Canis lupus familiaris: one gene and its partners. The protein of the gene in region 6 purifies or fractionates together with the protein of the main gene of each other region. This does not show direct contact. Links are inferred from orthologs where the notes say so. Each region holds a gene or a part of one and is shown on either strand. Other genes may lie near its edges. The genes, in order: ANAPC4, CDC27, ANAPC7, ANAPC2, ANAPC1, ANAPC15 and CDC26.

Region 1 (3,972 bases), on a different chromosome or scaffold from region 6:
TTTTGGCATCTTATTAGTAAACATCCTCAGTACAAAAAGTGTTGAGTACTCTGGGTTTTTGTTGTTATTGTTTTTGGTTTGTTTAAAGATTTTATTTATTAAAGCTAGAGCACAGAGGGAGGGGCACAGGAAGAGGGAGAAACAGGCTCCCTGCTCAGCAGGGAGCCTGATGCAGGGCTTAGGCGCAGGACCCTGAGATCATGACCTAAGCCAAAGGCAGCCACTTAACTCAGGTGCCCCTGAGTACTCTGTTTTGATGCTGAATGAGTTCTTTCTGTGTCTGTGGTCCTGACACCTTCCTGGTTTCATGAAAATAAGTTTCCCTTACTCTGCATTCAAGTCATATACCAGGTTTGCACTCAAGATGGCCTAAAGGATGAGTGGCTTTAGCTAATACTGAAAATAAATGTGGAAATGTGATAATTTTCTTAACAGTAATTTTTCTTTTCTAATTAAGTTTTAAGTTAATTTCAAATTAACTAAGGGGGTTGATAAAAAATTGAATAATAAGGATCTAGCTCAGTGTTTGAAATTCATAGATACAACAGTTGCAAATAGTCATGTGAATGTATCAATGCTTAGAAGAGCTTTACCATTTTAAAATACGTGTGATATTTGTTTACTTGGTAATATATATAATGTCTAAAACTGGGCAATTTTTTATAAAAGTATTTTTTAATGGGAAAACAAGTAAAATCTTTGGTACTTTTGTAATGGCTCTTCTTTGCTTTTCTTCTCAGTGTTCTAACATCTTTTTATAATGCTGAGGATGAATCAAATCTTCTCTTACCTAAATTACCCACACTGCCAAAAAAGTAAGTATCAGAGTTTAATTTCATTAGAATCTGTCTTGTAGATTTCTCTTTCCTTTACCTTGAACACTGATAATTTTCTCATGTGTTTTAAAAAATATATTTCTATTGCTTTTTACACTAGTCTCTGTTTTTCTCCAGTTACAGCAACACCTCAAAAATTTTTAGGCAAGTATACCTTTTCTGTTTTCAAGTAAAATAATCTTTTATTAATTGAAAGATGTAGTTGAAAGGTAACACAATTCTTTTTATATTTTAGTGAAGAAAATTCTGATGAAATTATTAAGCTTTTGGGAGACGTCAGGTAAATCTTGCAAATATCTTAAATAACAAGTCTAACTTCTTTAAGGTGATGTTTGATACTTGTGACAGAGTTTCAAGGGCAGTTTGGAGTTTCAAGGGCAGTTACTTTATGTGCATCCTTTTATTTTTCTGCTTACAAACACCTCAGAATAATATACAGACATTAGCCTCTGTTACATACTTGCTTTTATCGTATGGTCTTTGTGTCAAGTTCAATAATACTATACTGCACCTTTGTTTATTTTAATAAAAAGTAAAAGAGGATAGAAGTTATTAGAGTTTCTAAAATTTAAATTTAAATATTCTAAGTTTTTTTAAGCCCTTGTAGAACATTTAGTATCAGAGCCATGATACAACTGACGGCACTTTGTATTAACTGGGAAAAGGATCGTGTTATCGAGAGTGTATAAATACAGTCGTTGTTAAAAAAAAATACACTCATTAAAATACTGTGGCCTTGTTTTACTATAAACTGATGTTTTTTAAGCTAGAGCAAATTTATGTCCCTTTGAGAAAAAGAATAAGCCCTCTATGATTGGATATTGAGAACTGGTGAATTTGTGTGGTGTTTCAATTTCCCCACAGGGGAGCCTTAGCATGCAGATTATCTGAGAGCAAGAACAGTTTATATCTTGGTTTAAGAACTCAATCTTCTCTGTTGTCCTCAGCTTGTTACATTACTTTTAATTAGGCTTAATATTCTTGTCCTTGGAGGAAGTTCTGGATTTATCGAGCTTTATGCATATGGAATGTTCAAAATTGCTCGAGTCACAGGGGTAAGTTTTCCTTTAAAATTTTCCATATCATTTCTCTTAGAATGTACTACCTGATTTATGAAAAAAGAATACAACATTGGGTTTTTTTTTTTCTTGTTTCAGTTATTAGAATTATTCATTTATAAATGTTAAGAGGCTAATTTTCTTATGAAGATAAAATAGCCGTCATACGGTATCTGTGCTATTAGTGGAATTAGTCAAGTTTTTCTATTCTTTTTTGTTGTTGTTGTTAAGATTTTATTTATTCATGAAAGACACACAGAGAAAGGCAAAGACACAGGCAGAGGGAGAAACAGGCCCCATGCAGGGAGCCTGATGTGGGACTCGATCCCGGGACCCCAGGATCACGCCTTGGGCCGAAGGGCCGAAGGCAGATGCTCAACTGCTGAGCCAAGTTTTTCTTAACAAAAAGATTGATACAATACACTTGATTATGATGTAATGTTTTTCTAGCCTGTAGTCAGGGTGAGAGCTACAGTTTTGATGGGAATGTGATGAACATCATGAGAAGCGATCTTATACTTAGTACCAGGTCTGTCACTGTTCCTAAGTCTTGGTCTTCTCCTCATCTTTTCCATCCTACTCTTGCCATTCCTGAGGGGGACGAAATATACTGTAGGCTCTCCAGCATCTGATTTGGGACCCTTGATGGAGGGGTCTGTGTGTGTGTGTTTATGTCTGTGTCTGTCTTTCTCCATGTGGACTGGGTGGATACACACCTTGCATCTCCTACATACACATGGAAGGCGTCAGGCATGAGTGTTTCTGCTTTGTAGGATTCTGTGAATTTTTGTTTCTGTATGGTAAGCAGCTGCAGTCTAGCAATAATATTAAGTAGACTGGGGAATTTGACTCTTTTACAGATTGTTGGTACTTGTCTTGCATTATGTTTATCCAGTGATTTGAAATCATTATCAGTGGTCACAGAAGTTTCCGCTGGTGGTGCTTCAGAGGTCTCATACTTTCAGGTGAGTGTGGAAATCTTGTAGTAGCAGAGAGTAAATATATTTTTTTTTAAGGTTTTATAGGTTTTTATTATCCTTATCTTTGGGTTCTAATGGTCACTAAAGCAAAAAAAGAAGAAGAACTAACTTGGAGCTTCTAAATCTCAAATATAGAATCTTACTCTAGTGAACACTTTATTATTCCCAGGGCCCAGTGTATTTTTATAAAAACAGTATTTTAATAGTTTATTAATGACCATGTTAATTGGTTGCTGTACAGTTTACCTTTTACCAAATGTGTGTGTGTGTGTGTGTGTGTGTGTGTGTGCTTTTAAGGTTTATTTGAGAGAGAGTGTGAGCAGGAGGAGGAGCAAAGGGAGAGGGAGAGTGTCACAAGCAGACTCTGTGCTGACAACAGAGCCCATCACAGGGCTGGATCTCACCACCCATAAGATTGTGACCTGAGCTGAAACCAAGTTGGATGCTTAACTGACCGAGCCACCCAGGCATCCCTATACCAGATATATTCTTAGGAGTCTGATCCAAATAATAATAAAAGCTAAGATTTCTTAATTATTTAATATGTACCAAGTACTGAATGATTCAGTAATAATTCATTTGAATCTTCACAGCAACCTAATAGGTCCTATTATTATCCCCATTTTATAGATAAGTAGATACTGCACAACTTGCTCGGTATCACTCATTTGGTAAGTGATACTGGGCAGTATGGCTCCAGAGTCAGTTCTCTTAACCAACACATTGCCTCTTGTGTAAGATGATCACTTAATTTTGGGAAAAATCTTTTGTACTGTATGCTGTTTGTATTGTAGATTGTGGAGACCATGTGATCTCCTGTAGAGTATTTAGATTATAGCCTTGCCTTTAAGAAAATATTCCTTAGATTTCTTTCTTTCTTTTTTTAAGATTTTATTTTTAAGTAATCTCTACACCCAACACAGGGCTCAAACTCACAATCCTAAGATTAAGAGTCACACACTCCACCGACTGAGTCAGCTAGTCACCCCTTCCCTAATTTTGATGCCAAATAACCACATAGCCTAAAGATGCATGAATTCTCAAACAAGTAGACCAAAAAGATGCAAGATGCACTGTGTATGATGCTTTCAATATTCA
Region 2 (4,473 bases), on a different chromosome or scaffold from region 6:
GCTTGGGATTTTCTCTCCCTCTCCCTCTGCTCTCCCCCCTCTCTCAAATAAATAAATAAATCTAAAAAAAAAAAAAAAAAAAAAAGATGCTGTCCCTGTATATCTTATTCCAAATCAAAAGTATTCCTTCGTTATCTAAATGATCTCTAAAATAGTATTATGTGTATAGTACCCACTTATTATACTGATTAAGGCAATTTTTACAAGCCTTGTTTACTACTTCATCTGACACTTCTGTGAAGTTCTACCCCCAGGAATAATTGATAAGTCCATTAATGTCTTTTTTTTTACATCAATTTCATCAGGTGAGTTTTATAAATATCCAAATTAACACTAATTGAAGTCATTTAGGCTAGTGTCTTCCCCAAACAATTATATTAAAAATAATTGACAGAATTTCTGCCTCCTAATAGAAGAGATGTATGTAAAGACTCCTATATAAAGTAATGCTTTTCTATGAGAGACAATTTGGAGAAGGAGCTAATATTTAAGCTTATGTGGTTTATGAGATTGGCTATTCCACAGTAAAACTTTAAAGAAAAAAAACTGCAGAAAACAGTTGCTTATCTTTCCTCTCAACTTTTTCCTATGCCTAGTAATATCATGATTCCTTCAACAATTTTCCAACTTACTCTTCCTTTACAAGTACAATTACTTAGCATAGTTTTAAAAAACCACATAAACAGTATCTGTCCTATTTTTATTTTCTCCCTAATTCTTCCCATTTTCAGCCCTATCCCCAATCCGTCGATCTTTATCATCATAGCTAAAATGGCTTTTTTCTCCCACTGCTCCAGATCCTTTCTTGAGTGGATTCTTTTACTATAAATTACAACCAAAATTCTCACGTAGTCATATTGTAGTCATAGTCCCCAAATCTAATGGACAAAGGTAGTGGGGGGTGAGGGTGGGGACGACAAAATTGACTTTCAAGCCCTTGAAAATCCTGAAGTGCCTTACCACTAAGAGTACTTTAAGGAAAAAAGAGTAAACCTGATGGGTGGTACATCGAGGAAAAGAGTAAACCTGATGGGTACATCGAGGAAAGGAAAAGAGTAAACCTGATGGGTACATGGAGGAATAGGCTACATATTTCTTTTCTTCTCCATGTTTTTATACAAGTTGAAATTGTCATTAAATAGTGGTTATAGGCTAACAATGAAACTAGTTTATCATTTGAGAAGACTTCTGGGGCCAGAGAAGGCAAATGTATCATTAGTTAAGACAAAATTACAAGAATATGAAACAGAAATTAAACAACTTGAGTGATCTGCTTATCCATTTAAGAAGGTACAGATAACTTCTAATCCCACATTAGGCCTCAAAAAAATAATCTTAAAAGAGACTTCACCAGTAACATGAATTTCGATGGCAAGAAATAGCTCTGGAAGCATTGATACAACTTACAAACATAAATTTCCTGAGAGAGAATCCCACATTATATTAGTTCAAATACCAAGAGCGACTATATGTGAAGAGCTGTATGTAAAGAAGAAGCCAACTGGGAGAAATTTCTATTTCATCCTGTGAAAGAAAAATTAAGGAAATACGGAAGTGGTAATCTATTTAGAATATTTATCATTTGACATCACAGGCCTATTAAGGGTAATATGAAGTGATTTCTAAAATCGATTTGCCTTGTAACTTCAAAATAAAGAAAGCCCATAACTCAATGACAGCAGTTGGTAGAGGTCAACTCTTCTATTCAAACCAAAGATCCTATGGTGAGTGGAAAGTCTCCCAGACCTGGTCCATCAGGAAGGGACAAAAGATTCAGTTTCTTGAGATGGCGGGGGGGGGGGGGGGGGGCGGCGGATGACTTGGCACTGCATCACACTTCAAATCCAATAGGGTTTCTCCCATGCCAACAGAGCACTGTGCGTCAAAGCATACCCTGGTGTCGTAAGCACAGTGAAATGGATGTAAAAACCCTGCTCGGTCTTTCATTTTCCAAACGCCTTATCAACATGCACAACAAAACATTCCTGATCCCCATCACAGGTCACGGGGGAAACCCCCAGATTGGCCGTTGCCACCCCTTCCCCCCACCCCCAGAGGTGCTTGCCCCTCAGCACTGGGCCTTGGAGTTCTCTTCCCAGATCATTGTCCAAGGGGGGTGTAGGGGGGGTGGAATCCACTGAGCAAGAAACGCACAACGTGGGCTAGGACGTCTGTTGCCAAAACAGAAATGGATTAAAAATACCGATCCTATAGTCCCTCCACCCTCTCCCAGAGCACAAAAACAAAACCAAACAGCCCCTCCGCCAATTTGCCCCACCATTACGAAGGTGGCACAACCTCTGATCAGATGTGCTTCCCAATCATCCTTTGGGCGAGGGAGCACCTGGGGCGAGTCTCCGCCGCCCCCCCTCCCACCCCTCTCCTCGTCTCTCACTCGGGTCGGGGCCAGGCCCCTGCACTGACAGGAGGGGCTGGCCGGACGACGGACCGGCGGGGGAAGGAGACATTATCGCCGAACCGCGCTCACACCGCGGGGGGAAGCAACGCAGGACCTGAGCTAACACGGCTCGGGCTGCGGCCGAGGCCTCGGAGCCGACGAGCAGGCAGGCAGGACCCGGCAGCAGGGGAGGCGGGAGAAGCAGCCGGGCCTAGGCCGCACCAGGCCGCGGAGTGGCCATACGCGGCTTCCCGGCCGAGGCTGCGAGCCAAGCCTCAGCGAGCGACGTTATCATTACCTGGACGGGTTCCTGCAGCACCGTCATCCTTGAGGCTCAGGCCCACTTTCTGCAGTGCCTCAGGCCCCCCCCGTAGCGGCTCCGGCCCGGCCAGCCCCGGCTCATTTAAACTCACCAGCGACCGTTACCGGGGGATGGGGGAGGCCGAGCGATTGCCGAGTACCTCCGAGCGGGACACGGAAATGCCCGAAGTGGAGAGATCGGCGCGGGAGCCAGACGGAAAAGCCCGAAGGAGGCCGGAAATGCCCGAGGCCGATCGGCGGAGGAGGGGACCGTTGCCGGAAATTACCGAGAATGCCCGGATATTACCGACTCCGATCCAGAGCGCAGTTTTCTCCTCTCGGCCACGCCTTCACTCACGCACGCCACGCCCAGTCGGCCCCCCGAGGTTGGGCCACGCCCAATCGGCGACCCTGGGCGTGGCTTGCTGAAGCGGGCCGGGTGCGTTACGTGCCCCGACTACGGTCTCCGCTCGCCGCTCCCGCTCTCCGGATCAATTGGTGTGTGGTAGATTAAGCAGGAGGGTAAAGCACGAGAGTTTGGGGCTGACTTTAATCAAGAAGTGTTTTTTTGAGTTTAGTTCGTTCCTCATTCCAGAAGTACCTATATAGCACGGCTCAAAGAGAAATAGGAAATTTGGAAGGATTGCCGCCCGTCAAAGACTTGGTTTGGACCAGGGCTGTCCACACCGAAGACGTCACTACGATGTTACGTGATGCCCGTGATGAGTGACGTCAAAATTAAGAGGAGAGGGAACTAAATTGGGATTAAGATGAGGAAAGTTTCAGGGAAGGGAAAAGGGAGACAAACTGGATTCTGAAGGATGGGTAGAATTAGAAGAAAAGACTGGTAAGGGAAGGGACGCAGAAGTGAGATCAGTCCGGTTAGAGTTAAGGCATTAGCTGGAAATAATTACTTAGGTGACCAGATGATGGAAAATCTCAGAAGGCTGACAGAATTTTTTTTTCCTGATAAGGAAAAATTTCCTGATAATTTTTTTTTTCCTGTGGCATATTGGGAAATCCAGAGGCTTGATTCTAAATTTTACCTCTGGCACTAAGTTTTAAGTACCGAGGCAAGTCACATCTCTGAACATCTATTTCCTTAGTCTGAAAAAAAAAATGACTAAAAGAATTAAATGCATGGATGTATGTTGGTGTGTCTAACACACATAAGAGGCTCTCTCAGATTTCCTTCCCATTCCCCTTACCCACCCCCACCCCGCCGAAATGTGTGAGCCAGGGAACTATTACAATTTTGGGGTTTTTTGGTAGATGATGAAAACACGTTTAGAAAGTTAATTGTCCAATCAAGACATCTCAGTTGCTAGGTGAGGAACTCATGGTATATCCTGTTATGTAGGAATTTCCCTTTCTGGGTCTCTCGTTTTATGCAGATGAAATCAGGTTAAAATGGATTACTTCCCTTAGGTGATGTTGAACGAAGGGTTGGCTTGTTTTGTTTTGCTTTGTTTTGCTTTGTTTTGTTTTGCTTTTGTTTTGTTTTTGTTTTGTTTTGCTTTTTTTTTTTTTTAATACTAGCTAAGAGAGCTATATCTTTCACCACCAGCCATCTCTATTAACTGCTTCTGTATTCTGGGCCCTGTAAAGGGTAAGTGCCAAGGTGATTTTCTGCCCTGTGCCTTATTTTTTTTTTTTTAGCAAGATTATGAGTCTTCTAAATTGTCCAACTCGGTAGTCATTAGCTGTTTAACATTCAGTTAAGTCAAGAGAATTAAAAATGATTTTTTTGTCTTGTGTTGTTTTGGTGGGCAGCA
Region 3 (3,972 bases), on a different chromosome or scaffold from region 6:
TGAGCTGCCTACTTGCTTCATTTTACTTATGCATGTTTGTTTCCTTTGCTAACTAAAGGTGCCTTTGCAGCACATGCAGCCTTTTTCACGTCCCTGAAGTGCTCTGGGGAAGAGCATTTCTTACTCCATCAACATGCTCTCCAGTTAATATCAGTTTTCCCCTGGCCTGCCCTTTCTCTGAAGCTTTGAAGGTTTGCAATTTGGAAGGCTGTCCGGGTGGAAGCATTGCTTAGAATGGTAATGTGGTTGAACTTTCTGTTCTATTTTTTCAGGTCTCATTGAATGTTACTTAGCTTCAAACAGTATTCGTGAAGCAATGGTAATGGCTAACAACGTTTACAAAACTCTAGGAGCAAATGCACAGACCCTTACCCTTTTAGCTACTGTTTGTCTTGAAGACCCAGTGACACAGGAAAAAGCCAAAACTTTATTAGATAAAGCCCTGACCCAAAGGCCGGATTACATTAAGGCTGTGGTGAAAAAAGCAGAACTACTTAGTAAGTGTATCTTATTTACTTCCCTTTTTTGTTAATTGTATTAAACCTGGTGTCATTTGGATTTCCTCGTCCTAGCTGGTTATAGATAACCAGGCATGTGTGTGCCTTTTACAGTAGGTTTGAGCCCATGTGAATTGGTTTATATTTAGCACAACCAAATGTAGCTATCTTAGACTGACTTGGATTGGCACTACTCTTTGAGTGGTTCAAACCAGCTATACTTGGTTCGTACCTGTTTAGCTCACTTTCATCTGTTTTGGTTGTCCTGTACTAGTTTGGCCTGAATAGAACTAGTTTTAGCCGGCTAGAACTGTTTTTCAGTCCATCTGAATTTGCTTATGATTTTCCTTTTAGCTTTGGTGTTTTTAGTCCTGATTCATGATGAAGTCCTGGGTTTGGGCTAGTTTGGAAAATAAAATGCATTTTGGCTTTTTATTTGAACTTAGGTTAAGAGTATATTTTAAAAAATCAGAACTCAAGCTGCACATTTCTTTTCTTTTTTGTTTTTTTAAGATTGTAATTATGGGCAGCCTGGGTGGCTCAGTGGTTTAGCGCCGCCTTCAGCCCAGGGCCTGATCCTGGAGACCTGGGATCGAGTCCCATGTGTCGGGCTCCCTGAATGAGCCTGCTTCTTCCTCTGCCTGTGTCTCTGCCTCTGTGTGTGTGTGTGTGTGTGTGTGTGTGTGTCTTTCATGAATAAATAAAATCTTAATAAAAAAAAAAAGATTGTATTTATTAGAAGCAGAGGGAGAGGGAAAAGCAGGCTCCCTGCTGAGCAGGCAGCCCAATGTGGGGCCTGATCCCAGACTGGGATCATGACCTAATGCGAAGGAAGACGCTTAACCATCTGAGCCACCTAAACACCACTCAAGCTGAACATTTCTTAATGGAATAAGAATTCATAGGAGCTTATTCTTATTTCCTGCCATACCACTGTTCTCTTAAGGACATCTACAAAGAGATTATTAGATTGTGAGTGTTGTGGTTTTGTGTATATGATTTGGGATGGGAGTGTATTTTCAAAATGTTGTGTAAGAAGGAAAATGAGGATCTTTTTCTTTGCAGGCAGAGAGCAGAAATATGAAGATGGAATTGCTTTGCTGAGGAACGCACTAGCTAATCAGAGTGACTGTGTCCTGCATCGGATCCTAGGAGATTTCCTTGTAGCTGTCAATGAGTATCAGGAGGCAATGGACCAATATAGTATAGCACTAAGGTAGGCACTTAGCCTCCCATGGGGGGGAAGGTCAATGAGGGGAAGACGAGGCAGGGAACTGTGTAACAGGAGTTCTGGAAACATACACGTTTGTGCCCATGATTGAAAAGAGTAATTATAGTAATGATTAGAAGAGTTATTTGTGAGCTCATATCTTAAAGAAATTTCATAAAGTATATTATAAGTAACATTAAAAAACTGTTTCACTCATAACCAGCCCATATCACTATATCATCTGTTTTCATTTGTGTAGATCATATTCCTGGTCTTGCCCACACATAAACATATTTTTATAGGGTATATGTAGTATATATTTTATATTCTGCTTTTTCAAATCAAAGTATTGTAAGTACTTTCCCATGTTTCTACCTACTGTAGTAAAGAACCTAAGCTCTGAAGTTTGAATATTACTTTCACCTGTTATCTCGGGCAAGTTACAAGTTTCCATGTCTATATCTACCTTAATAGGTATTGAATGATTCCATGAGGATTAAATTATTATTCCGTGTAAAGCTCTTAGTGGTGTGCCTGGTACATAGTAAATACTAAATAAATAGTGATATTCTTACTGTTTAATATAGAAGTGATTTCTTTGAGGGTTGTCTGTGTGTCTGGAAGGTTACGGTGAAGGCCTGTCTCTAATTGAGTCTGTTCGCATCCATTTACTTATTCAGCAGTTGAGCATCTGGCATCTCAGTAACCACTGCGTATGCTGTGATTCCGAAAGCTCTCAGTCTCAGGCATGTAGACTGGATGATGCCACATAATAATAAATACAGTTCTTTCTAGCAGTCTCTAGAAAGCAAAGTGGGAGTCCCAAGGGTGGGGAGCCCTGGGTGTGGGTGAGAGCCGTATGGAGGGTTTCAGAGAAGAGCTTACGAATCAATCTGCAGTTGTGTAAGTAGGAACAGAGGACCCATTAGAGGTTAAATTTGCTAGCGATTGGACACCTCCTGGCCTTGATAATAATTACAGGGGCAGGAGGAAGAATTGCTTAGAAGCCAAGCTAAATGTTCTTGAGCCTCTGAACTTTGGGGTTTGGGGCATGTATTAGGACTCTTAGGTGCTAAACTTGAATGCCTGGGTAGGGGTAGCTTTGGGTCCTGGAGTCTAACCTAGTAGTTGACAAATGTGTTCCATGGTAAGCATGATAATTTTGCTTGACTACTGAAATGCTGATATGGTTAATTATATCATAAAAACATGAATCAACTTCACTCACAGAAAAATATTTTTTTGTAACTTTGTAGCTTAAAAATCCGACGCTGTTAAATTACATTTGAATTTGTCTATTAATGATTGTTTGCTGGTTTTTCATTTGTGTTACCTAGTATCTTCTTCTAGCAGAATGCTGGGGTAATAAGTTTGAAAATGTATAAGAAATATGTGGAGAAAAACTCAAATTGAGAATGCTAAAAATTAGGACAAGATACCTTTTTTCACTTCTAGTGGTGGAGTCCCTCGATCCTGCCTGTGGAACCAGAGTTGTTTGGAGAGGCCAGGCATTAGCAGTTTCTCTGTGACTGGGTGGTCATTTCACTGCTGTGCCAGGGAGATGACGCATCAGCCAGCAAGAAGCAAGGCAGAGATTCAGGCCTCTCCTTTGTTTTGTTGTCCCCTAGTTTGGACCCCAATGACCAGAAGTCTCTAGAGGGGATGCAGAAGATGGAGAAGGAGGAGAGTCCCACGGATGCCACTCAGGAGGAGGATGTGGACGACATGGAAGGGAGTGGGGAAGAAGGGGACCTGGAGGGCAGCGACAGTGAGGCGGCCCAGTGGGCTGACCAGGAGCAGTGGTTCGGCATGCAGTGAGGCAGGCGGCAGCTCTGTGGCCACACTGGCCTGCCCTGCTCTGAGCACTTCCGTGGACCGGAGGAGCCCGCTCTCTGGGAGGACAATGATTCCGCATGTAATTGCAGCAGGGGTCTCTACCTCTTGCTCCATATTTCTAGTAGTGAATTCATTTTTAAAAACTGAGCCTGACCAACCTTCCATATATCTCTGTCCTCCCCTGCTCCAGTCAGGGAGGATCGAGTGAGCTCTCTGGGAGGCCTGCAGATGTGCCAGGGCTTCTTGGGACAGAGTGCTTTTTATATAACTAATTTCTAAATCTGAAGCTTGAGGAATAGACAGTGTTTTGTCTGTGACATTGTGGGTGAGTTTAAAGGAGTGATCTGTCACACAGCAAGAGTGTCCTCTCCCATGTCAGACAGCAGCATGGGCTGGCCCTTTCAGAGAGGGTTTCCTGTTCCGGAAATC
Region 4 (4,684 bases), on a different chromosome or scaffold from region 6:
ACTGGGAGCTATGGGCAGAATACCTCCAGGGCAGTAGGTTAAGTGCAGTTGGGGACCAGAGGCCAGCAGCCCTGGTGGGGAGAAAGGGTGGGGGACAAGGTCTCGGGAGATGCTCAAGGATACCTTCAACTCTTTTCAAAAGCACAGGGAAAGCCAGTCCAGGCTTCCCTCATCCAAGGATGAACCATACCCAGCTGGGCAGGGGCTCATATTCATTCATTCCGGAGGTGTCCAGCAGTTCTGCACTCCAGGCACAGGCCACAGGGCATCTTTACAAACCTAAGCTTTATTGACAGTCACATGCCACCAGGACAAGCTCTGAGGTGCAGGGCCCCTGCCCTTTGCCCACTTCCCTGGCTGGGGCAGCAAGGTGAGGCCACTCTCATGGTGTGGAGACAAGGGAGCAGGGCCTTTCTGGCAGCACCGGGATGGGGGGTGGTGGCGACCTCAGGCCCTGAACAGAACTGACCCAGAGCCTGCACTCCCCAAGTCCTGCATGAGTACAAGGCCGGGACGTGCCCAGAGGTTTCCTTGTCACCTGGGGCAGGTGGAGCTTGGCAACAGCCTCTTGGTACCTGAGACACTGAAAGGGGGCAGCTGGTGCCAAAAAGAGTAAAGACGCTGAGGATAGTCGGAGGCCCAGCCACTGCCGGGCACAGTAGAGGCAGGCCCCTCCCCAGAACGGCCCCATCAGCTGTCCTTAGCTCCGCTGCTCTTCTGCTCTGAGGCTGTGGCCTTGGTCAAGTTCCCAGCTTCCCTCTTCAGGACACTAAGCAGAGTCTGCGAGCTCTCCAGGATCTGGAAACAGACGTAGGATGGTCACCACCACTCCTCGCCAGCACTGAGCTGTGGGGCAGCAGTGCAATGAAGCCCCTGAAGGGCAGGTCAGACAGGGTCAGCAGGGCCCGTTCCCCCTAAGACTAGCCCAAAGCCCCTTCCTCGCACCCCAGGGAAGCCAGTCTAGGTTAGCTGAGCCCGGGGCCGCTCTTTGCTCATGGTCTGGGAGGACAATGGTGCAGAAAACAGGACTCCTGACCTGCCAGGCCCCCGACAGCCTCACTGACACCTAACCGGGATCCTGTCGCCCCTGCGTTTGGCCGGCCCTAGACTCCCCCGGGGCCCCAGCCCCACCTTGAGGTAGGCGGCTTCTGTCTCCGCGATGGTCCGGTCAAACTCGTTTCTAGAGGCAATCTTGCGGGCCAGGTTCTCGTTGACGCGAGCCAGTTTCTCGGTCAGCTGCCTCACTTCATTCTGCAGCCGCTGCTTCTCGTCTTCCTCCTGCTGGATCTGCCGGCACAACTCCTCCCGCTTCTGGCACAACTCCTCGATGCCTGGGATGGGCGAGCGGGAGGGCACACGCTGTGGACCCAGGGCAGGAGGGAGCACAGCACCCCTCCCACTCTGGAGCGTGCCCGGTGCACTGGACGGTGCGCACCCCTCGCACCCTGGACCGTGCGGGGGGCGGGAGGCGGTGCACGCTCTCCCCTTCCGCTCTGTCCCTCACTGCGCAGATACCCGGCGCCCGGGCGAGCGGCACAGCGGCTGTCCCCCTGGCTCGCCCGCAAGGCCCCCGGCGCCGTCCCGGCCGAGGCCCCACGCACGGACGGTGCAGCCCGTTGGGCCACGCGCGGCAGGCCCGCCACCGCCTGGACCCGCAGGCCGGCGAGCCCCGCGCCCTCCCAGCCCACCAGGCGGACCCCGCCGCGAGGCCGCTCACACTTGACCAGTTCGTTGTTATAATTCTGCAGCGCTGCGCCCTGCTGGGTCATGGTGACCGCCCAGGCCGCGACCACCCCAACCGCCGCTACTGCATCGCCGCTCCCGCCTGCGCGGTGCGTCCGACGGCGCGCCCTCCGAAACGTCACCGCTGCGCGCCGCTCGTGTGCGTCATCGCCGCGCGCCGCACCCGGAGCTCGGGGGACCTGGAGGGGGCCGCGCAGATGGCGGCGGCGGGGCGCGACGGCGACCCCGGGCCCGCACAGGAGCTGTTGCTGGCCTGGAACACCGTGAGCACCGGGCTAGTGCCGCCGGCCGCGCTCGGACTGGTGAGGCCCCGGGAGAGGGCAGCGGGCCCGCGCGGGGTCCCTGGGACGTCCGCCGGGTGGGCGTTGTGCTCCCGGACAGCTCCTACCTGGCGTCGGCCGCAGCCTCCCCTCCGCTGCGTCCCTTCCCCACTGCTCCCCGTCCGTCCCCGCGCTTTCCGCGTCCCTCCGCGTTCCCTTCTCACGGTTTTCTGCACCGCAGGCGTCCTCCCGCACCAGCGGTGCGGTGCCGCCGAAGGAGGAGGAGCTCCGGGCGGCGGTGGAGGTGTTGAGGGGCCACGGCTTGCACTCGGTGCTGGAGGAGTGGTTTGTGGAGGTGCTGCAGAACGACCTGCAGGCCCACATCTCGCTCGAGTTCTGGAATACCATCTCCCAGCGTGAGAACTGTGCGGACGAGCCCCAGTGCCTTCTGCTGCTCCTTGACGCCTTCGGCCTGCTGGAGAGTCGCCTGGACCCCTACCTGCGTAGCCTGGAGCTGCTGGAGAAGTGGACTCGCCTGGGCTTGCTGATGGGCGCAGGCGCTCAGGGGCTTCGGGAGAAAGTCCATACCACCTTGCGGGGCGTCCTGTTCTTTTCCACTCCCAGAATGTTTCAGGAGATGATTCAGCGCCTCTACGGGCGGTTTTTGAGAGTCTACATGCAGAGTAAGAGGAAGGGGGAAGGGGGCACAGACCCGGAACTAGAGGGGGAGTTGGACAGCAGGTACGCCCGCCGGCGGTACTACAGACTTCTGCAGAGCCCCCTGTGTGCGGGGTGTGGCAGTGACAAACAGCAATGCTGGTGCCGCCAGGCCCTGGAGCAGTTTCACCAGCTCAGCCAGGTCCTGTGAGTACTTGTGGCTGTGGCCATTTCCCTGTTCTTCTTGACTCTAGATTACTTTCCTGGGTCCAGCGGCCTCTTCAGAAAGCTGGTGAGCTGGCTCTGGGGAGGGGGGCATCTCTGCCCTGACAGTCCTGGACATTACAAAGGGACAGTCCCCAGGGTCCCTGTGCTGTGAATTTATACTCTTTGTCCTGGATAAAAAGAACAAGTATCTCTGCCACTCACGCTAATCTCAGGTTTCACACTGCGTGCACACCAAGACCCTATGTGATTCCAGATTTCCGGTCACATACAAGTCTGCTGTGTCTTCTGTAGGCTCTCCAGGGAAGGGAAGATAGTTATCCTCTCCTATAATTGCAAAAAAAAAAAAAAGAGAGATTTTTTTTTTATGCTTTCCAGGACGAGCTGGGGATTAGGCCAACATGCTGGCAAGCAGATTGTCTTTCCAGTTTTTTTTTTTTTTTTTTTTTTTTATTAGTTCATGAGAGATACAGAGAGAGAGAGAAGCAGAGGGAGAAGCAGGCTCCATGAAGGGAGCCTGACGTGGGACTCGATCCCAGGTCTCCAGGATCAGGCCCTGGGCTGAGGACGGCACTAAACCGCTGAGCCACCAGGGCTGCCCTTTCCAGTCTTTAAAGAGGAAAGGGTTTTGTTGTTATTAAAGCCAGGTTCTGACCTGTTGACCTTTTGTCCTTTGTGGTTGCTTATAACAATTTTGTCTCATTGAGTGAAGCAACAGCAGTGCAGCTGTTAGGGAGTGGTCCTGTTGCTGGCAGGGGTCAGGGAGCCCTGAATGGCTTTCACTGGGTTCATCTCAGACACAGAAACATGCTTTCTCCTCGCCTCTTGACTCCCTTTGCCATTGCTGACCAGGGTTTGCACCAAAAGGCATAACTGAGGACTTCTATACATGTGACCAGGACAGGGATGTGTTTAGCTATTGTTTCAGAGTCACATTTGGGAGATGAGGCTTTGGCCCTGAGAGCCACACCCACCACACACACAGGGAAGGCCAGGGTGTCAGCCCAGTCAGGGAAGTCAGCTGGGGAGGGCAGGGCTGTGTCCTCCCAGCAGCTTATTTGAAGCCTTTGTTATAGAGGGCATGGGAGGTGGGGGAAAGGATTATGTTTTATGTGCTCCACGGGCAGGGCTCTCCTCCAGACACAGGCTCAGTCTGTTGGAGCGGGTCAGTGCCGAGGCTGTGACCACCACCCTGCACCAGGTGACCAGGGAGAGGATGGAGGACCGCTGCCGGGGCGAGTATGAGCGCTCCTTCCTGCGTGAGTTCCACAAGGTAAGGACAGCCTCTTAGGCCCTATCCCCTGCGGACTGTAGAATAGGTTTCTAGCAAACCTGACCCCTGGTTTTATTTTTTTATTTTTTATTTTTTTTAAGGATTTTATTCATTTATCATGAGAGACACAGAGAGAGATAGGCAGAGACACAGGCAGAGGGAGAAGCAGGCTCCATGCAGGGACCCTGATGTGGGACTCGATCCCGGGACTGCAGGATCATGCCCTGGGCTGAAGGCAGACACTCAACCACTGAGCCACCCAGGTGTCTCACCCCCTGGTTTTAGAAGCGGCGAGAGTGTATGGAGATGGGTGAACCAAGACCTGGAGGGTGGTGGAAGCTGTCTTGGTGCTGAGTGGAGGCTGGCCCTACTGACAGCAAGAGACCCCCCGTGCCATGCTCAGCACAGTCTGTGCAGAGTCACTTTGCTGGAGGCTGTGCCAAGGTTTGGGGTGTCCCAGTGAGGGTCTTGGCACCCATGTGGTTGGAGCATGGTCTGGGGCTCTGTTCTGGACTCCCCAGGTTGT
Region 5 (3,972 bases), on a different chromosome or scaffold from region 6:
GCTATCCTTTTTTTTTTTGCTATCCTTATGCTTTGTAGTAATCAATAATGTCATTTTTATTCAGATAAAGTAACCAAATTTTAACAGTTTTACTTCTTACTGTTTTTCCATCCTTTGCATAAAAAATAAATTTTTTAATGAAGCGAATTATGGAATTTTTTTTTATAAAAAATAAAAAGATTGTAATATTAAAGCACAAGACCAAAATTAGTCTTTTTCCTGTTTCTCACCATCTTTTTTATACCTAGTGTTATATTAAAATTTTATCACATTGTCATTTTGGTACTGTTACTAGCCAGTGGCAGGAATTTCTGATTGAATTCTTTCTTAGGTTTGATTTTGTCTTGAACTTTAAAAAAATATAGTTAATGATCACATTGTTTTGTAAAGCTATTACATTGGAACAAAATCTAATGTTTTATAGTTTCCTAAGCACATATTATATAGAGTAATTTCTTTTACTTCTGTTTTTTCTTGTCCTTTACCTGATAGGTTGCAAATGTTTGGCCCACCAAATATGGATTATTGTTTGAACGAAGCAGTTCTACACATGAGGTACCTCCAGGTCCACCCAGGTATTCGTTTTACTCAGTTCAGTATATTATTTGGGCTTTTTTTGGTGTTGGTTTTGAGGTAAAATTACCTAAAAGTTCAGGATGATGGGGGCATCTGGGCAGCTTAGTGGTTGAGGGTCTGCCTTTGGCTCAGGTCGTGATCCCAGGGTCCTGGGATGGAGATCTGCAGTGGGCTCCCTGCGGGGAGCCTGCTATTCCCTCTGCTTATGTCTCTGCTGCTCTATGTCTCTCATGAATAAATAAAAATCTTAAAAAAAAAAGTTCAAGGTGATGATAATTTCCATGCTAACGGCGTAGTTAAATGCCATTTTCTCTTATCTCAATATTGTATACTTATGAGCTCTATTTCTGTTTTGGCATTTCATTATCTACTGCTTCCCTTCTCCCTTCCATAGTAAAATTAAACAAGCACATACTGAAGGATAAAAAAGACTCTGTTATTAAAGCTGTCATTGTTTCATTGTGTTATTATGGGCAAGTCATTACAGCTTTCTTAGCTTTAGTTTCCTTATCTGTTACAAAAGTACTATCATTAACTTCTTGGATTTATGCAAAGATTAAATGAGCTAATGCACATAATCTTTGATGTAGGACTTAGTACATATCAGGTGCACAATAAATGGTAGATGCTTATTGGTGGCATGTTTACCTTGTCTTCCTAATAAATTGTGAGCTTACTGAAGGGCAGTAACATACCAGTACCTGTCATAGTCTGCTGCAAGTAGTAGACACTGGTTTTAAAAATTTGCTTATAGATTTTAATCTTTCTGTGTTTAGGTAGAAGACCTATTTTTTTCTCCTTTTTAATCATTCCTTAAAAAAATGCAGCCTTTTTATTTACTTGAAGTTTTTCTTCCTTTTTTGGGGGTGGGACACTTTGTAAATGGAGGTAGGACACTAAATTTGTTTCTTAGCTGCCAAAGACACACTGCCACTAAGAGAGGTTTAAAAAAAGAAAAAAGAAGACTGCCTTATGCTTATTACTCCGTTGGTTCTGTAATGTGATGACTGCTGTTTGTAGAGATTTCCTGGGCTATATTGATTTCCTTGTGTGTGTGCATGCATGGAATTACCATGTACAAGAAGACCGATTTCCAGGAATGAAATAGAAGATACTGTAAAACGTTTAGAGGCTTGCTTTGTGAGATGGTAGGTTTCTAGTTGCTTGTATATTCTGGAGAAGATATTTCTTTGCAGGAAAAAAGTGCATAATTTGCGTACAAATGGAATGATTCTGTGTTGGTGATCACTGATTATTTGTTTATTACTAGAGAACCTTTACCCACTATGTTCAGCATGCTGCATCCACTAGATGAAATAACCCCACTTGTTTGTAAATCTGGAAGTAAGTGTATTTTTATAAATTCTTTCATATACGTTCTTTTTTTTTTGAGTTTAGGAGATGGGAGGAAATGAAGGAGCTTTTTGAAAATAGAGTTGTTTTTTTTTTTAATTGGCTTGTTTTATAGAAATAATGTAGTTTGAACATTTTTATTATGAAAATTTATATTAAAGCAAGAACTTAATACCAACTATTGAAACAGTATTAACTGTTTTAATAGTTATTCTTTTCTTAAAAATAGGGCCTATAATCAATCAGGAATATTGATAGATTTGCTAACCTATCTGTAGATGACTCTTGACTCTGTTCCTCAGTAATTCCTTAATAAGTAAATGAATAATACTTAGATGAACTAAAATTGTTTTTTGTTGTTGGAGAAAAAAAGTATAGGTTCATAGACTTCTGTTTAATCATTTTTGCTGTTCATAATAAACTAATTTGCTGAGATGCAGAACTTTTAGTATTTCCTGTGAGTATTTCTAGATGCTTATCTTAAAAAATTTAAATGTGGCCAAATATGATAGGTAATTATAAATAATGAGGACTTGGAAACTGAAAAAAATACTTCTATATATATATATTATTTTTTTTTTTTTTACCGGTTTCACTTGTAGTACTTTATCCTAAGCACATATTCTGAAATTCCACTAAGATTTTAATCTTCTGTATCAGGGCTTGGCAAACTGCAGCCCATGGGCTAAATCCAGCCAACAGCTTGTTTTTGTAAGGCTTATGAGCTAAGAATGGTATTTATCTTTTTAAAGAATTGTAGAAAAAAACATTATGCAACAGTCAGTATGTGGTTCACAAAGCTAAGCTATTTATTCTCTGGCCTTTTACAAAAACGTTTGTTGATAATTCTATATCATATTGGTAATGATTACAGACTATCTAATTACACACATTAGAGCCTGTGACTGAATGGTGTGAAGCCATTATTGATCATGCTTTTGAATAATAATGATCTCAGGAATTACTTACTCATAATGTTAAGTAGAATATAAAACTGAATACAGTGTGATTCTAATTTTGTAAAAGCATAAAAAGTATGTATATGTGTAGGAAAAAAACACTACAAGGAATACTCCCTAATATAGTGGATATTTTGAGATGGTTGAATTACGAGTGATTTTTATTCATTTCTTTATAAAATACCTCTCATTTTATAAAATAATTATTGAAAATTAAAAAGTATTTTAACAGAGGGAAGCATTTAGGAAGCTGTCAAATAAGGTTATAGATAGAAATCATTTCAGGGTACTATAGAAGTAAAAGTTAAACTCACTAGGGAAAACTTATTTTGCATGTATGCTCAGTAAAAGGTGTACTGTTCAGCTGTGTTTAAATAGTTATTATAGAGGACAGATTTCATAGAGAAGAAAACAGTCAAGAGGTCAAACTTGGCAGAATAGTTGATTGCAGTTTACAGGTCAGCTGTTGGGTGGTCACGGACCTTCTGCCTGTGGCCGATGGGACATTGAGTGAGCATACATCTTTAACATGTAATTGCATGTGTGTGAGAATGAAACTGGTAATGTATTTTTATCTTATCTTTACGTATCTTGAGGAAGTTGATGCCCAAAGTAAATTTAAAAATTCAGGGTGATTCTATGTTAATGGATTTTGTGTCTTAATTGGCTGAATTTCTCTTTAGGAATTACAGGAAGTCACTTCATAAAGAACTGTTTTTACAAAGTTCATTGTTCAATACCTGATCATTTCTGTTTTATCTTTAAAGGTCTTTTTGGTTCATCAAGGGTGCAATATGTTGTAGATCATGCAATGAAAATTGTTTTTCTCAACACTGAGCCCTCCATTATAATGACCTATGACACTGTTCAAAGTTTGCATTCTGTGTGGGCTCTCCGGAGAGTCAAAACAGAGGTAAGGATAAAGGCAAGTCACATCTTAGTAGGAAAGGATAGCTAACACTGAAAACTTTCACATGTGTTTGGGAGAATCATTTGTGAAATGCATTGAGCTTTATAGGAAAAAGGAAATATTGTGTCTTTAATAACTGGCTTCTACCCTGAATTCTCACCAGGAAATTACCCT
Region 6 (4,441 bases):
ACTTTTAAGAAAGATTTTGTTTATTTATTCATGAGAGACACAGAAAGAGAGGCAGAGACACAGGCAGAGGGAGAAGCAGGCTCCATGCAGGGAGCCCGACGTGGGACTCGATCCTGGGACTCGATCCTAGGTCTCCAGGACCAGGTCCTGGGCTGAAGGCGGCGCCAAACCGCTGAGCCACCCGGGGCTGCCCCAAATTTTATTCTTTAATGAAAAGCTTCATGACTACCAGAACTGCTTGGAAACACAATCACGTTAACATACACAGTACACTACCACTTAAACATGTAGTCTCACCAAATCCTCACATCAGTCCAGGATAGGAGGAAGGATGCGCAGTTTATGAAGTTTATGGTTGAAGAGGAAACTGAATCCAGACCGGGGTGGAAAAAGGACTTGTTAAAGCTCACACATCTGGAGTGGTCAGGAGCAGAATCAGGGATGATTGCTAGCTCTAGAAGAGGCTGGTGGGTGATGGAGCTTAATGGGGGGGTTGGGTTCGAAGAACTGCCGTTTGACAGAAGGCATGATCTCTGAAGGGGAGGCTGACTCAGCGGTTACCAGAACAGACTCATCAACAAAGGACTGGGAGAGATGACGAGGCTGACCACTAAAGGTATTTAGACCAGTCCCGGAAAGGGCAACTGAATTCCCCAAAAGTGGTGTCCTGAGGCTGACTGGTCACTGAAACCCGTACATGAACTCAGATGCAGAGCTGGACAGGCAGTCGTAAGAAACCGCTGAGTCCACTGTGGGTCTGTGGAGCCTGGCTTCTCCCCTGGACTGTGAGGTCTACGGGGGCAGGGACCGTGATCTAGATTCATCCCCAGCTTCTAGCAGAGCCTGGAATACAGTAGGGACTCAACTATTTCTGCTGAAGTCATACATACATGCACCAACCAAGAAGCTGAGGGTGAGAAAAGACAGACAGAAGGGGCATAATATCGCCCCGCGATTTGGGGGTAGAAGCAAACGAATTTTCTTGGGACGCGCGGCAGGACAAAGAGTTCCAGTGCTAAAGCAGGTAGCTGCTGCCAGCTATTTTCCAGCAGGGCTTGGCAAGCAGATCCTGGCTAGGGACGAATGGGCGGGGTTCGATGGGGCCGTTGGCGGGGGGGCGGGCAGACAGGGGAAGCCGAAGGGCGGAGGCTCAAGGAGGGGCCAACGGAGTATGCAAATTTCCAACCTCAACTACGTGACTGAGGTGTGTAACGTCACATCCGGTGGGGTGGGCGGGAGCGGGAAACAAAAGGAGAGCAAAGGCGCATGCGTCGGTGGTTCCCGGGCTCTGGTGGGTTCTTCCGCTCGGGCAGAGAGAAGTGCTTCCGGGTCGCCGCCGGCTGCCGCCTCCTGGCGCGGTAAGTACGGAAGCCAGGCTGCGGCCTCTGTCTCCTTGCCCCTTCTCGTCTCCCTCTCCCGGAGGACCCCCGCGGTCCTGACCCGGCTTCTCAGGGGCTCCACGTTCCGACTCCTTTCCACATTAAAGAGCTCCAGTTCATTGGCCGCTTCCTCGAGGCTAAGCCCCACCCAGTCGCCCGAGATCCGTCCCTCATTGGTGTCCGTTTCTGTCACCCACCATTCCTCCCAGTTAATTGGCCCCATTCAGGCCCCGCTCCTTTCGCGATTAGCAGCCCTATAAGGGTAAATGCCTGCTCGAATCCCGCCCCTGCATTCTTCGTGTTGGTCCACCCCGCGGTCATTATCATAATGAGCAAAGAGTGGGCGGGGGCTTTGCGGCGAGGGGGGGGGCTTTCGGAGCCTCGGGCTCTGGCCTCTCCTACGACCGGCCGGGAGTGAGGATGGCTAGTTGTGCTGCTGACACGGCCCGGGAAGCTGAGGTTCACGGAAGGGCAGCGGCGGGCCCGGGATCGGCTAAATGAGTTTAGGGCAAAAGCAGAAGTAGACGTCGGTCTATTTCTCCTGCTCATCTCCTCTAGTGCCTGGCCTCGATTTCTTCCCCGCGGAATATGATGCCCCAGCTCACTTGTGACCTAGAGCCAGTCGTTGCCTGTCGCAGGGCCTCAATTTTCCTGTGAGCTGAAAGGTTTTAATTCAAATTCTCTGGGACCTTTCCGGTCCCCCTCAGCTGCTTTTAATCCGTGCCGAATTTACATTATCCATTCACGTTAGTTCATTCAGCTTTCCATTTACTTATTCATTCATTTACTCATGCCTTTAGAATGTCTTCCTGAACCCTGCTGCACCCCACCCCAGTTTAGCTGGTTCATGAGAGAGGTGGTTAGTGTCCTAAATTTCTGACACTGGGTAAGTATGGTATGGATCATCATAGAGGGGCAAAAAGTAGGTCTTAGTGTTTGGAGGAGGTAAGGATAGGACCAGAGGAGCCCTGCTGCCTCTGATTTTGTAATGCCAGTCTGCATTCTGGATTCATAGCTCTACATTTGGCTTCCATTCCCCTCCACGCCTCCCCTTGAACTACTTTACTTCTCCATAAAGTAAATTATCAGAATAAGTATGAGGGTGGTATAATTGTTATTATTCCCCCCATTTTACAGATGAGGAAACTGAGGCTCATAGAGGTTAAGTGACTTGGCCAAGGTCAAACAGCTAGTAAGTGGTGGAGCCAGGACTCAAACCCAGGTCTGTTTGATTCCCACAGAGAAGAGCTATTTCCCTGCTACCTTCTACTCCACCCCATCCCCAAATCAAACTATAACCAAATAAAACCCAAAACCAAACACATCTGACAGCTGGATTCACCTGGCCCTTTACCTCAGTCTAGGAGCCATGTCCACCTTGTTTCCCTCACTCTTCCCCCGTGTGACTGAGACATTGTGGTTTAATCTGGATCGACCCTGTGTGGAGGAGACAGAGCTGCAGCAGCAAGAACAACAGCATCAGGCCTGGGTGAGTAAGGACCTAGCACAGTGGTGGAGCCTCTTGGAGGAGCTTTTTGCCCTGAACTGGGAACAATCAAGCTGGGAGGCAGGAGGCCTAGATTCACATCTTTGTATTACCCTGACTTACTGTGGGCCCGTGAGACTTCTGAGCCAGATTGGAGGCCAAGGCTCTTTCCTCTGAAACATAAGAAATAATAATTTTGACTTTATTGAGGTCCTAGTAGGTGCCTTATTCTAGACTGATAGTCTCTCACTTTACCCTCACCATCATCTTAGGAGGCCACAGTTTCCTCCTAAGAGAGTTGACGTAGTTGGATCGAGTTTATAAGTAAGTGGCAGATGATAAGAGACAAAGAGATTGGCTCTTTCTGGCAACTGGAAGGAAGCTTCACCCTTGAGGGGACTTCTCAGGGGCAGAGTAGGCCAGTCTCATGTCCCTGACCTGTCCTGCTCAGGCTCTGACTCTGCTCTCCACCTGATTTGGCTACAGCTCCAGAGTATTGCAGAGAAAGACAACAACCTGGTACCTATTGGCAAGCCGGCCTCAGAGGTGAGTGGTTCCAGCAGGTAGGGCTTGTGTGGAGCCCAGGTGGACTAAAGCTCTGCTCTACTTCTGAAGGTCCTGCCTCTGACCTCAGAGCGGTTGTGGTGTTCAGCTCTGGATGGAGGCTATAAAGAGGGTGTAGAGTGGTGGCCATTGAACCCAGCACTAAGGTCCTATAGAACATGCATCAGCCTGCTAGACTCAAAGGAACAGAGAAAGGTTGGGGAATGGAGGGTCATGCACTGGCCCCAAAGACTGGCTCCAAGTGGACCTTGAGCTGGTCCAGGCACTCTTATAGGGCCTATAGTCTTTCCCCTGCCTCACCAGCACTATGATGATGAAGAAGAAGAGGATGAAGATGACGACGAGGATAGTGAAGAGGACTCAGAGGATGATGAGGATATGCAGGACATGGATGAGATGAATGACTACAATGAGTCACCAGATGATGGAGAGGTCAATGAGGTAGGTAGAGGTGTGGGGGAGGGCCCCTGCCCCTGACCTAACTAATTGGTGGCCAAGAGGTACAGAGACTCTGGTGCCAGACGGGCAAGATCTGGGACTGGGGCTGGCTGGGTGGCTGAGGCCCCTCCCCACCCACACCCAGCCTTCTCTCCAGGTGGACATGGAAGGCAACGAACAGGATCAGGACCAGTGGATGATCTAGGTAGACAAGGCAGGGTGGCCTCAGGTAAATTCCAGGCCAGCCCAACTTACCCTGCATCCTCTGCAGAACCAGCTGATTGCCCCAGTGCCTGAAAGCTCACCCTTGGGTATCTCTTCAGCTGCTGCCAGGAACTGGTCTCCTTGGCTCCTCCCAGGCCATCAGTTTGCCCGTGATTCCCCAGGGCCTGAGCCCAACCCACCTTTCTGCCTAGTACCTCACCCTTTGGTTGCCAGGTATAATCTCTTTCTAACTCTCTTGAATAAAGACACAGGACTGATTTTTTCCCCCCGTGTCTATTCCCTATTTGTTGGTGGGGTGCAGAGGAATCCAGCATCTTGAGCTTTAGGAAGAGGGCACACAAGGGACTTC
Region 7 (3,453 bases), on a different chromosome or scaffold from region 6:
ATACAAGGTCCATTGTGTCTCATTTCTCCACTTTATCTTCCACCTTAAGTTATCTTTAACTTTAATCTTAGTGCCTCTGCATACTTGGTTCCCTTCTCCTGAAATGTCCTTTCAGTATGGTTTAAACTTCAGCTGTAATGAGTCTCATAAAATGTTGGCATACTGAACTTTGACTCTGCAGAATCAGCTCACTATTGAGCTAGTCTTTCTACTGAAGGCAGTTATCCAGTGGGTTTGACCTGCTGCAGAGCAACTTAGGGAGGGACAGTTTTGCCGTAAACTAAAATAAAATGAAACCAGTAGAAACTGGTATTTCATTTGTTACTGAAATTAGTTTAATTATATTTTGATGACTCTGGATTCTGAAACAGTCAGCAGTTATTCATGGTGGGAAGCCTTTTAAATTATTTTTCATTCCATTTGGACATTCTCAGTTTCTCATGGCTTATGAAATGATAATATCCTTTGCCTTTTAACCTGTTTTCACTAAGCTGTCATAATGTTACTTATTGGTAGTGTAGACTAACTAGAGAGTAACTCAGGTCATTTTACATACATAGACACACACATATATATAAAGTAATGCCTTGTTTGGTTCAGTATGATACTGTGACATTGGCATTCCAATGCTGAGTTCATTAGTAAGTGGTGAAGAATGGTAGCGTTTCCAGTGGTTAGAGTAGTCGAGCCATCCTTGTAAGGAATGCTGGATAAAACATTTGTTCACTCTCTCAGAGAACATTATTATTTAATAACTTTATAGTCAGATAGTTGTAGTTATGGGATAAGTGTTAATACCTCTTTCTGAAAATGATTAAACTGAGGGGCACCTGGCTGGCTCAGTTGGTGGATTGTGTGACTCTTGATCTCGGAGTTGTGAGTTCAAGCCCCACGTTGGATGAGGACATTATTTAAAAATAAAATCTTGAAAAAAAGAGGGCAGCCCCAGTGGCTCAGTGGTTTAGTGCCGCCTTCAGCCCAGGGCCTGATCCTGGAGACCTGATCGAGTCCCACGTCGAGCTCCCTGCATGGGGCCTGCTTCTCCTTCTGCCTGTGTCTCTGACACACTCTCTCTCTCTCTCTCTCTGTCTCATTAATAAATGAATAAAATCTTAAAAAAAAATACTCAAGAAATCTTAAAAAAAAAAAAAGGAGAATGACCAAACTGAGATATTGACTTGGTGAATTCTGCAATCACTTGTAATTTAAGAGCCAAACCTTTAAAAAAAAAAAGATTTAATTAATTTCTTTATTTGAGAGAATGCGTGAGCAGAGGGAGGAGCAGAGAAAGAATCTCAAGCAGACTGCTGAGCATAGAGCCCCACATAGGGCTGGATCTCACAACCGTGAGATCATGACCTGAGCCAAAACGAAGAGTCAAATGGTTAACGGACTCAGCCACCCAGGTGCCCCAAGAGCCAAACCTTTTATTTTTTAAAAATTTTTAAAAGATTTATTTATTTATTTTAGAGAGAATACACGCATGAGTGTGAGAGTGCAGGGAGGAGCAGAGAGAGAGAGAGCTCAGACTCCCTGCTTGAGCGTGGAGTGTGACACAGGATTTGATCTCATGACTCTGAGATCATGACCTGAGCTGAAATCAAGAGGTGGATGTTCAACCAATTGAGCCATCCAGGCACCCCAAGAGCCAAACCTGAAAACAAAACCTCAAAACTCAGTCCTTTTGATAAGATAGTATAAAACCTTATATTCCTGTTTTTACATTTAATCTCATAGTTGTCAATGAGAAACACCCTTCTTGGGGTGCCTGGCTGGTACAATTGGTAGAGCTTGTAACTTTTGATCTTGAGGTTGTAGGTTTAAGCACCGTGTTGGGTGTAGAGATTACTTAAAAATAAATCTTAAAAAGAAAAAAAAATGCTTTTCTTTCCCCCTTGTCTGCCAACTTACTTTTTTTTAGTTTTGTTGAGAAATAACTGACATACACTAAGTTAAGGCACAACGCACGATGGTATGATTTACATATATTGTGAACTGATGGCCACAGTAGGTTCAGGTAACATCCATCTTATATATTATTTATCTTTCTAATCGCAGCTTCCTGCTCTGAAGCTTTGCCACAACATACCCAACTCCTCACGTCTTCTTTCAGTTTCTTTGGCAGTGTGGACTTTCCTGTGTCGTAGCTATGATCACTCTGTGTTGCCATTGTCTATTTTCCTATTTCCCTGTTAGGCTGTGACATCTGGGAGGGTAGGGGTTGTCTCTTTTCTCACTGTGTCCTTGTATCCCCCTTGTACTGCTATTATCCATTTCAACCTAGGATTTTATTTCAATTTAGGATTTCAGCTTACTGTTCTGAAGGCCCTAATCCCAGCTTTTACCCTATGCCTAGTGCATGGTAGGTGCCAAATAATTGTTTGCTAATGGAAAGAACATTGCCTTAATCCTAAGACTTTTATACTTTCAGACCCGTAAGAAGCAAAAGGAAGAAGTGGATGTCGTAGGAATCAGTGATGGAGAAGGTGCCATTGGGCTCAGCAGTGACCCCAAGAGCCGGGAACAAATGATTAATGATCGAATTGGTTATAAACCCCAACCCAAGCCCAATAATCGTTCATCTCAATTTGGAAGTTTCGAATTTTAGAGGCAGATTATCTTGCATGCCAGAACCCTGGGATGGAGTAAAATGATGGCAGAAGTACAAACAAGATTTAGAGAATTGAGTGCTTGCAGTGAAGCAGAATGTTTTACCTCCTGCAGAGAAATATTTCTGCATGAGATTACTGATGCTTAACTTTTGCTCTGAGTGGAAATCCCCTCATTTGTCTCTGAAAAATTTGACTGTATAAAACTTGTCTGATTTTTGTTTTTAAAAATAAATATATTTTTGGAAAAGTGTGTGACACCCTTAATAAATTATAATAATAGCACTGTTGACCCCCAGATTTTAAAAGGTAATTGCTACAAGAAGTAACATCATTCTTTTAAACCTTTATTGAGAGACTTGAAGCATAGAACACTTCCAGTTGATCCCTGTCACTGACTTTCATTCAGCTCAACTATTCAGCAAGTATTAGTTGAGTGCCTGTAATGTGGCAGGTACTACTCTAGGTGGTTAGTAACATCAGTGAACAAAATCAAAGATCCCTGCCTTTGTGGAGATTAGATTCTAGTGATTTTGTGTAAATGTGATCAAGCTATGGGTTTCCAGAATCTATTTACAGGATGGCTTTGTAGCTAGTCTGAGTGTAATTTTGGGGGGACAGAGAGTGGAGGGAAAACAATAATTGGAATGCTCCTAACAGAATTACCATCATTCCAATTTTCCTTCCTTTTCCAACTTGCCCTAAGAATTTTTCACACGCAGCCAATCTGAGAGGGTAATTTAGAGTCCTGTCCAGGGCACCTCGCTGGCTCAGTCAGAGGAGCATGCGACTCAAGATCTCAGGGTCATGAGTTCAAGCTCCATGTTGGGTGTAGAGATTACTT

What was found.
Region 1: the proteins of ANAPC15 (region 6) and ANAPC4 purify together in Homo sapiens (affinity purification with mass spectrometry; 10 studies listed by BioGRID and IntAct, with this or other methods). This does not show direct contact. The link is inferred for Canis lupus familiaris from reciprocal best matches to the Homo sapiens genes ANAPC15 and ANAPC4.
Region 2: the proteins of ANAPC15 (region 6) and CDC27 purify together in Homo sapiens (affinity purification with mass spectrometry; 3 studies listed by BioGRID and IntAct, with this or other methods). This does not show direct contact. The link is inferred for Canis lupus familiaris from reciprocal best matches to the Homo sapiens genes ANAPC15 and CDC27.
Region 3: the proteins of ANAPC15 (region 6) and ANAPC7 purify together in Homo sapiens (affinity purification with mass spectrometry; 3 studies listed by BioGRID and IntAct, with this or other methods). This does not show direct contact. The link is inferred for Canis lupus familiaris from reciprocal best matches to the Homo sapiens genes ANAPC15 and ANAPC7.
Region 4: the proteins of ANAPC15 (region 6) and ANAPC2 purify together in Homo sapiens (affinity purification with mass spectrometry; 4 studies listed by BioGRID and IntAct, with this or other methods). This does not show direct contact. The link is inferred for Canis lupus familiaris from reciprocal best matches to the Homo sapiens genes ANAPC15 and ANAPC2.
Region 5: the proteins of ANAPC15 (region 6) and ANAPC1 purify together in Homo sapiens (affinity purification with mass spectrometry; 3 studies listed by BioGRID and IntAct, with this or other methods). This does not show direct contact. The link is inferred for Canis lupus familiaris from reciprocal best matches to the Homo sapiens genes ANAPC15 and ANAPC1.
Region 7: the proteins of ANAPC15 (region 6) and CDC26 purify together in Homo sapiens (affinity purification with mass spectrometry; 3 studies listed by BioGRID and IntAct, with this or other methods). This does not show direct contact. The link is inferred for Canis lupus familiaris from reciprocal best matches to the Homo sapiens genes ANAPC15 and CDC26.

Annotation. Positions count from the first base shown.
Region 1 is NC_049224.1:85,502,970-85,506,941, reverse strand, and holds part of ANAPC4 (anaphase-promoting complex subunit 4), read left to right. Parts: intron 1-740; coding exon 741-815; intron 816-953; coding exon 954-980; intron 981-1,071; coding exon 1,072-1,116; intron 1,117-1,806; coding exon 1,807-1,891; intron 1,892-2,754; coding exon 2,755-2,859; intron 2,860-3,972. UniProt on the Homo sapiens protein: Component of the anaphase promoting complex/cyclosome (APC/C), a cell cycle-regulated E3 ubiquitin ligase that controls progression through mitosis and the G1 phase of the cell cycle.
Region 2 is NC_049230.1:17,584,032-17,588,504, forward strand, and holds the start of CDC27 (cell division cycle protein 27 homolog), read right to left. Parts: upstream 2,885-4,473; 5' UTR 2,724-2,884; coding exon 2,697-2,723; intron 1-2,696. UniProt on the Homo sapiens protein: Component of the anaphase promoting complex/cyclosome (APC/C), a cell cycle-regulated E3 ubiquitin ligase that controls progression through mitosis and the G1 phase of the cell cycle.
Region 3 is NC_049247.1:8,456,954-8,460,925, reverse strand, and holds part of ANAPC7 (anaphase-promoting complex subunit 7), read left to right. Parts: intron 1-272; coding exon 273-497; intron 498-1,562; coding exon 1,563-1,713; intron 1,714-3,335; coding exon 3,336-3,525; 3' UTR 3,526-3,972. UniProt on the Homo sapiens protein: Component of the anaphase promoting complex/cyclosome (APC/C), a cell cycle-regulated E3 ubiquitin ligase that controls progression through mitosis and the G1 phase of the cell cycle.
Region 4 is NC_049230.1:48,461,914-48,466,597, forward strand, and holds the start of ANAPC2 (anaphase-promoting complex subunit 2), read left to right. Parts: upstream 1-1,769; 5' UTR 1,770-1,940; coding exon 1,941-2,045; intron 2,046-2,244; coding exon 2,245-2,867; intron 2,868-4,025; coding exon 4,026-4,158; intron 4,159-4,684. Other genes in the region: SSNA1 (Sjoegren syndrome nuclear autoantigen 1), read right to left, coding at 691-798, 1,132-1,331, 1,718-1,769. UniProt on the Homo sapiens protein: Together with the RING-H2 protein ANAPC11, constitutes the catalytic component of the anaphase promoting complex/cyclosome (APC/C), a cell cycle-regulated E3 ubiquitin ligase that controls progression through mitosis and the G1 phase of the cell cycle.
Region 5 is NC_049238.1:36,482,436-36,486,407, reverse strand, and holds part of ANAPC1 (anaphase-promoting complex subunit 1), read left to right. Parts: intron 1-492; coding exon 493-575; intron 576-1,846; coding exon 1,847-1,920; intron 1,921-3,655; coding exon 3,656-3,801; intron 3,802-3,972. UniProt on the Homo sapiens protein: Component of the anaphase promoting complex/cyclosome (APC/C), a cell cycle-regulated E3 ubiquitin ligase that controls progression through mitosis and the G1 phase of the cell cycle.
Region 6 is NC_049242.1:26,089,062-26,093,502, forward strand, and holds ANAPC15 (anaphase-promoting complex subunit 15), read left to right. Parts: upstream 1-1,209; 5' UTR 1,210-1,266; coding exon 1,267-1,358; intron 1,359-1,378; exon of another isoform or gene 1,379-1,967; coding exon of another isoform or gene 1,968-2,032; intron 2,033-2,476; exon of another isoform or gene 2,477-2,738; coding exon 2,739-2,868; exon of another isoform or gene 2,869-3,351; coding exon 3,352-3,411; exon of another isoform or gene 3,412-3,732; coding exon 3,733-3,870; exon of another isoform or gene 3,871-4,012; coding exon 4,013-4,072; 3' UTR 4,073-4,356; downstream 4,357-4,441. UniProt on the Homo sapiens protein: Component of the anaphase promoting complex/cyclosome (APC/C), a cell cycle-regulated E3 ubiquitin ligase that controls progression through mitosis and the G1 phase of the cell cycle.
Region 7 is NC_049232.1:68,042,635-68,046,087, reverse strand, and holds the end of CDC26 (anaphase-promoting complex subunit CDC26), read left to right. Parts: intron 1-2,431; coding exon 2,432-2,608; 3' UTR 2,609-2,859; downstream 2,860-3,453. UniProt on the Homo sapiens protein: Component of the anaphase promoting complex/cyclosome (APC/C), a cell cycle-regulated E3 ubiquitin ligase that controls progression through mitosis and the G1 phase of the cell cycle.